Ovis aries: one gene and its partner. The protein of the gene in region 1 purifies or fractionates together with the protein of each later gene. This does not show direct contact. Links are inferred from orthologs where the notes say so. Each region holds a gene or a part of one and is shown in the gene's direction. Other genes may lie near its edges. The genes, in order: P4HA2 and COL1A1.

Region 1 (3,805 bases):
GATGTGTAGGGGTTTGGTTATTAAAGGGCAATAAACCCAGGGATTCAGTTAGACTCTGGTAGATCTTGGAGGCTCCCTCACCCGTGGGGACCCTGTAGGAGGCGCAGCAGAGGGAATCACGGTGTGTAGGAGAGGGAGGACCTGTGTTGTTGGCTAGTCAGAGCCTTGGCACTGGGAAGCCCAGGGAGCCAACAGGAAGATTGGGGATGTCTCCTTAATCCTCACTCAGTCAGATTTTGGATAAGGCCAGGAGGCCAGAGAGAGAAGGTGGCTTGAGGCACCTGCAGGATCCGTTCACCCTATAGTTATGAGAATGGTTGGTGGGAAGAAGGAGCCAGAGCCAGGCATTGACCCTTCACATTCAGTAACAGCCCCGTGTGTATCCTGGAGGGGCAGTGAGGGGTGGATGCTGTTCCTACCTGGTGTCTCCCTAAGCACCTTCTCCAGGGGACCCTGTTCACAGTGCTTTACTTTTAGGGCTAAATCCAAATTCCTCTTAACACGTGGTCTTTGCGGTCCTGCGTGGTACCGTCTCCCTGGCCTCCTTGCCCGTTGTACTAAGCTTCACCACTGCTTGGCTTCTTTGTTCATCCCACAAACTCTGCAGGTTTACCTTTATGGCCCTTCAGCATTCAGCTCAGCTGGTATTCTCCCGAGAGCACTCTCCAGAGAGCAGACTTTCACACTGGTTTCTGGGAAAGATACTGAGTGTTTGGGAGCCATTCTTGACATTCTTGGTATCTGTGAGATATATGGTAATAGCTACTGTTTATTGCACTCAAAGGACTCATAGGAGACATTTTCATGTGACATTGTCTTCTTGAATTCTTGGCACAAGTCCTCTAAAATTGATGGCATTATCTCTTTTTAGAGGTAACAGACCAAGAATCAGAGAGGCTACGTAACTTGCCCGTAGTCACACAGCTGTTGGGTGCCATAGGTAGGCCCACACAGGCCTTGCTCTGTCCAACCGGCTCACCTGTGTTATGCTGCCTCCATCAGTGTTGAGTTCCTGCACCCACAGAGCCAGAGATCTGGAGGTTCATGGAGAGTGAACAAGGACTCAAGGATGCCTCCCTTCTCCCATCCATGGTCTTCCTGCTAACTCTGTCTGGTGTTTATTTTCCCCGTTTTCCTATCCTGTCCTACATTGTCTGTTCCTGAGCCATCCTGGTGAGCAGCCCCTGAAGCCAACCATGGCAGCAGGGATTTCATTCTGGGCATCTTGGATATCAGGCAGAAAGAGCCCACTCTGAGACAACTCTCCACTGTTAGCCATGCCTGGGTTGCTATTAATGGTTTTGTAGGGAAGTTCCTTTGCTTTCCAGGAGGGTCACAGGTTAAACCCTGCATCTCCCCATAGCTTACACATCACATCTCCTTCTTGACTTGAAACTCTCTTCATGGTCACTTCCAGCGTGAACCAACAGCAGATGACCTATGGTCAGAGGACCTGCGGAATTGACTTAACCAAGGGCCCCACCCTGGTGGCTCAGACGGTAAAGAATCTGCCTGCAGTGTGAGAGACCTGGGTTCAGTCCCTAGGTTGGGAAACCCCCCTGGAGAAGGGAATGGCTACACACTCCAATATTCTTGCCTGGAGATTTCCGTGGGCAGAGGAGTCTGGCGGCTACAGTCCATGGAGTTACAAGGAGTGGGACAGGACTGAGTGACGAACACTTTCCCTTTGAAGGGCCCCACCGCCTAGTGGTCAAAGCTGGCATTGCAGTCTTATTTCTTGCCCTCCCTTGGCATCTGCCGGGCCCCTCCTGTTCCATTTCTTCTGCCTCTTAGGTACTTCTCAGTGTTATTCACTCCACTGTTTCTGTACAGGTGGTCTCTGGGGCCCTGGCCTCAACTACTGTGTCTCTCTTTCCTGACACTTATTTCTGGAAGCATTTATCTTCATCCATGGCTTTACCTGCCACCTCAGTTCTGTTTTTTATATTCAAGTTATTTTTTCTAAACTTCCAGTCTCAAATGGTCAGCTACCTTGCAGACATCTCCTGTGAGGCACGCAGGACCTTTTTACTCTCCTGAGCACTACTTCTTGGGTATCCTGGGCTCCTCCATAATAAAGGCCCCTTCCCACTTGGAAGGAGGGGAGTCTGAGGATAGGAGACAGGCTGTGCACCCCAGCCAGAGACAGGGCCAGCATGGCTGTGCTTTCTGGACTCATGGCCCTTGGAGGTGTGTGGTCTGAAATCCTAGTGGGCCTCTGCTGGGGTGACGCCCCCACCTCGCAGGGGCCCAGGCTCCCACAATGGGGGAAATCTCTCTCCCTAACCCAGAGGCCCTTTGGAGCCTGACTACATGCCTCTCCGGCTGCAGGAACCAAGTACCAGGCCGTGCTGAGTGTGGATGACTGCTTTGGGATGGGCCGCTCGGCCTACAATGAAGGCGACTATTACCACACAGTGTTGTGGATGGAACAGGTGCTAAAGCAGCTCGATGCTGGGGAGGAGGCCACCACAACCAAGGCCCAGGTGCTGGACTATCTGAGCTACGCTGTCTTCCAGCTGGGTGACCTGCACCGTGCTGTGGAGCTCACCCGCCGCCTGCTCTCCCTGGGTAAGGAGCCTCTGGGGGAAGGTCAGGTGCAGATGGGGAGGTGGCAGGGCTGGCTCCTGTCAGGGACCAAGCCAGTCTGACCAGTTGCCTAGCCGGCGACCAATCCTTTGCTGCCTTCAGGCCCAGGCTAGCTGCCAGCTTGCTCTTTACCTACCTCGGTTCTGGCCTTAACCCTTGCCCAGTCACTGATGGATCCACTCAGGCCTGCATATCGATTTCTATTCCATTTATAAATGGGGATCCAGGGTTGCAGTCTATCTGCTGCTCTGTAGGGTGGAGCCTTTATTGCGTCCACAGTAGCTCGAGAGGCAAGCTGTATTTCAGTGTTGCTGCAGTGACAGTTACCTGACCTGGTATTAGAGGCCTGAGGTCTAACTGATGGACTTGCCATGGCTCTGGTCATTTAAGTGTCCTGTGATGTTAGACTGAAGGAGATCAGAAGCACTGTGTCTCAAGAACCTATTTGTTCCTCTTCTTATTAATATTTGGGATATCATAGTTTGGGATTTCACTGGCCAGCAAAGGCTTCCTTTTGCTGCTGCTTTTCATGGGTCCTGCATCTGAGGCCAGCTAGTGTGGATGTCTGTTAGATGGATATGGGAAGAGAGCTGTGTAGACTCTGTCATGTTAGTAAGAGCCTTGGACAGGGAGTCGGGTCACCTGGATTCCCCCTCTGAATAACCTCACGTTAATTTCCTCACATCTTTGGGCTTCAGTTTCCTCCTCTGAGGGGTGGCTCAGTACTCCTGCCTGGCTTGCTCCTTCGTGTCGTGAGGCCCATAGGACAAAGCTGTGGGAGTGTCATGTGGCTGTTCTTGTTGCTGGTGTTTCAGCCTGCCTTCTCGCTGTGGCCAGGGCGTGATGCGCTCACCAGTAATGGAGCAGATGGACTCTAGGGCATGGATGAAGCTAGCATGCAGCCAGGTTGGGAGGAGGAGGCAGAACTCTGGACTGCTTCTCTGGACCCGTGTCCTCAGGATTTCCAGGGAAGTCTGAGAGGAGATCTGCATCAGTGGCGCAGCATCCCTTCCACCCCCCGCTTTGTTGCTCCGTTCTCATCTCTGACCAGAGTGGAGAGAACCTCTGTTGGCTTTTCCTCTATGACCAGCAAACCCCGCTTAGGTGCTGTGGAAGCCAGAATGCTGCGTGCAAGTGAGCTGCTGGGGGAGAAAACCGCTTACAGAATAATTTCTCTGAATGACCTAACAGATGTTTGTGGTTTCCTTTTCCTTCA
Region 2 (3,805 bases), on another chromosome or scaffold:
TGTTCTGCCTCCCTCAGGGCGCTCCTGGTATTGCTGGTGCTCCTGGCTTCCCTGGTGCCCGAGGCCCCTCTGGACCCCAGGGCCCCAGTGGCCCCCCTGGTCCCAAGGGTAACAGCGTAAGTACCACTGTCTCTCTTTTGTCCCACCTCCTATGTTGATCTGAGGCCCTTGTCTGGGAAGCATGATGGGCCAGGCCAGCTGAGCACTGTACCCGTTCTTCACTCATCTTCTCCCCCTACTCAGGGTGAACCCGGCGCTCCTGGCAGCAAAGGAGACACTGGTGCCAAGGGAGAACCCGTAAGTCCTCTCGCAGCTCCGTCTGTCTGCCCCAGAAGCCCCTGGGGGGTGGTCCAGGGAGGAAGCGGAACCCCCGGTGCTGGAGACCCAGCCTCCAGACAACTCTGAAGCTGGCACCAGGACAGCCCCTCACTGTAAGCTGCCCCCTCCTCTCTGCCCTCTCCAGGGTCCCACTGGTATTCAAGGCCCCCCTGGCCCCGCTGGGGAAGAAGGAAAGCGAGGAGCCCGAGGTGAACCTGGACCTGCTGGCCTGCCTGGACCCCCTGGCGAGCGTGTAAGTGCCCCCTTCTTCACCCCAGTGCCGACCTGGTGCCCATGTGTCTGAGCTCACTGACCTCCTCTCCTCCCCCAGGGCGGACCTGGAAGCCGTGGTTTCCCTGGCTCTGACGGTGTTGCTGGTCCCAAGGTAAACCTCTCATCACGACTGGGAGGCTGACCCTGCTGCTCCCTGGACATTACCTTCCTCTCCCGGATGTAATCGGCCCCCTCCCAGCCCCACCGCCCAGTCCATTAGCGCCCACACGGGGGCTGCTGACCTCGTCACACTCAGCTCACCTTGACCTCCTCACCACCACCAGTGCCCCTCAAAGCACCCAGCCCCATGGCCCAGGAGGAAGAGGTGGATGCCAGCCCATGATGAAGTGGCCCAGACTTGAAACCCTAATTATTGCTGTGACTCTCCCAACTAGGGTCCTGCTGGTGAACGCGGTGCTCCTGGCCCTGCTGGCCCCAAAGGGTCTCCTGGTGAAGCTGGTCGCCCCGGTGAAGCTGGCCTGCCCGGTGCCAAGGTGAGACTCCAGCACTCTGCCCAGCGAATTTATTGTTGTCTGTTAGTGGCCCAGGACCCTGCCCATCCTGTGTTGGCTCTGGAGCAGGACCACAGATCCGCCTTCTGGAATGTCGTCCTCCTGGCCTACACCTTCCTACCGCCCCTCTCCCATCACCTGTATCCTCCGCTCCACTCACACCTGTCTGCCTCCCCCTCAGGGTCTGACTGGAAGCCCTGGCAGCCCAGGTCCTGATGGCAAAACTGGCCCCCCTGTAAGTATCCCTCCTCCAGGCCCCTGTCCGCCTCCTGACCTCTCGCCCTCTGCCCTCACCTCTGCTCGTGTCCCTTCCATCCTCAGGGTCCCGCTGGTCAAGATGGCCGCCCTGGACCCCCAGGCCCTCCCGGTGCCCGTGGTCAGGCTGGCGTGATGGGTTTCCCTGGACCTAAAGGTGCTGCTGTAAGTATTCAGGGAGTTGTGTTACATGGACATACACACTTGAGGCGAGGGTAGGCGTGGGGGGAAGAGTCCAGGGTCTGGGCCCAGCTCTGCCACTGACTTGCTATGTGGCCTCGGGCCACTTACTGCCCCCCTCTGGGCCTCAGTTTCCCTACTCCATAAAATGAGAGACCTCTCCTTGGCTTCACTACCATTGCTCTATCCCTGGAAATAAGTATTGTTGCTCGCTCCCCACCCCACACACACTTGGGGATAGGATGAGCCTTTTTCATGATAGTCATCCCCAGATCTTGGTGAGTTCTTTGAGGCTCAAAAGGAGATTTCAAAGGAATGAAAGCCCTTCGGAGCTCAGGTGTCTGCAGGCATATGATGGGGAGAAGAAAGGGAAGTGGGTGAGAGAGGAGCCTAAGGGGCATGTGTCTGGGAGGACAGGGCTCAGGGAGAGGCCAAAAGATGGAGCAGTCGAAGCCAACAGAGGCCTTCCTCAGGGGCCAGAGCTGATAGATGAAACAGCTCCTTAAAAATGCCACTCAAAGTAAACAGGAGGGACCCAGGAGGCCTAGTTGCCCACTTCAACTCCCTCAACCCTACCTCTCTTTCCCCAGGGAGAGCCTGGAAAAGCTGGAGAGCGAGGTGTTCCTGGACCCCCTGGCGCTGTTGTAAGTATCTCCTTTTGGTTCCTGTCACTTTCCTGCCCATGTCCCATCCCTATATCCTGCAGAAGGGATATGAGACTCCAGCCCATTCCTAGGGCATCAGGACCCCCAGCTCCAAGCCCCTTACCTGTGCTGTCTTCCTCAGCTGCCCACCCACCTCACCACTCTAACCCCTTTTTAACTCTTTCCCCAGGGTCCTGCTGGCAAAGACGGAGAAGCTGGAGCTCAGGGACCCCCAGGACCTGCTGTGAGTGTCCCTGACAGGGAGGCCTAGGAAGGGGGGCACTGTAGGGCAGGAGAGGGGTGCCAGTCCCCTGCCCCCTTCTCTGGGCCTTCCATGAGCACAGCATTCCCTCCATGCAGGGCCCCGCTGGTGAGAGAGGCGAACAAGGCCCTGCTGGCTCCCCTGGATTCCAGGTGAGGTCTCACGCTGTCAGGGTATTGGGAGAGGGGTGTGAGGAACACTTCTTCCAGATTCTAAGCCCATGCTTCCCTCCCCCATTTCCCACCCACAGGGTCTCCCTGGCCCTGCTGGTCCTCCTGGTGAAGCAGGCAAACCTGGTGAACAGGTAAGGTGTAACAGCTGGCTGAAGAGACGGGGAGTGCAGGCAACACAGAGGGAGAATCCAGCCCTCCTAGCTAAGCACACAGCCGTCAGCTAGAGGGAGCAAGGTTAGACTTGAGGAAGGGCTTCCCATCGTGAAGGACGCCACACAGAGGGGAGCACAGAGCTGCACCCCTGCATGCTAGGATTGGGAGGGAGCTGCATGGCTGCGGGTCTAGATGACTTCTTTTTAGAGCTGCTGGAATACTCTGGCTTTCCTTCAACCTCAAGTTCAGGAAAGGTGACACATCCCGAGGAAGGATAATCCCAGTTCAGTGCTCAGAAGGGGTTGGTCTCTAGTCACAGACTCTAAGGGCTAGCTCCCAGGTGGGCAAGAATGTTTTCTAGTGCGGAAGGCCAAGGTGGGTTTTGCTCACTGTCTCCCTTGCTCCCCCTCAGGGTGTTCCTGGAGACCTTGGTGCCCCCGGCCCCTCTGGAGCAAGAGTAAGTAGAGCCTCTTCTTGCATCACAGAGATGCCCTGCACCTGGGCCTCTTTCTGGAGCCACCATCACACACCCTGTCCTTCCCTTCCAGGGCGAGAGAGGTTTCCCCGGCGAGCGTGGTGTGCAAGGGCCGCCCGGTCCTGCAGGTCCCCGTGGAGCCAATGGTGCCCCTGGCAACGATGGTGCTAAGGTAAGGGCAGCATGGGGACCAGGTCTCACCCTTCTAGTGGTGGGGGCCGCCTGGCTGGGACCAAAGCCAGCTAGATGTTTGGGAGGGGTGGAGGGACAAGACTAGGGTAGGGTCCATGTGCAGCCTGAAGTTCTGGGCTGTGAGCCTTTTCTCTTAGCTAGTGCCTGTCTTTGGCCTCAGGACCAGGCCTGGGAGGAATTAAGACGAGGCTCAAAGTTGTGACCTAGACCTAGTTCTGAGATCCCAAGTCTCACTCCAGTCTTATCGGTTGTCACATAGGGTGATGCTGGTGCCCCTGGAGCCCCTGGTAGCCAGGGTGCCCCTGGCCTTCAAGGAATGCCTGGTGAACGAGGTGCAGCTGGCCTTCCAGGCCCTAAGGGTGACAGAG

Evidence for each region.
Region 2: the proteins of P4HA2 (region 1) and COL1A1 purify together in Homo sapiens (co-immunoprecipitation; 3 studies listed by BioGRID and IntAct, counting the BioPlex papers as one, with this or other methods). This does not show direct contact. The link is inferred for Ovis aries from reciprocal best matches to the Homo sapiens genes P4HA2 and COL1A1.

The regions. Positions count from the first base shown.
Region 1 is NC_056058.1:19,991,167-19,994,971, forward strand, and holds part of P4HA2 (prolyl 4-hydroxylase subunit alpha-2), read left to right. Parts: intron 1-2,331; coding exon 2,332-2,571; intron 2,572-3,805. UniProt on the Homo sapiens protein: Catalyzes the post-translational formation of 4-hydroxyproline in -Xaa-Pro-Gly- sequences in collagens and other proteins.
Region 2 is NC_056064.1:36,197,498-36,201,302, forward strand, and holds part of COL1A1 (collagen alpha-1(I) chain), read left to right. Parts: intron 1-17; coding exon 18-116; intron 117-243; coding exon 244-297; intron 298-463; coding exon 464-571; intron 572-649; coding exon 650-703; intron 704-986; coding exon 987-1,085; intron 1,086-1,284; coding exon 1,285-1,338; intron 1,339-1,424; coding exon 1,425-1,523; intron 1,524-2,128; coding exon 2,129-2,182; intron 2,183-2,372; coding exon 2,373-2,426; intron 2,427-2,542; coding exon 2,543-2,596; intron 2,597-2,694; coding exon 2,695-2,748; intron 2,749-3,182; coding exon 3,183-3,227; intron 3,228-3,318; coding exon 3,319-3,417; intron 3,418-3,696; coding exon 3,697-3,804; intron 3,805-3,805. UniProt on the Homo sapiens protein: Type I collagen is a member of group I collagen (fibrillar forming collagen).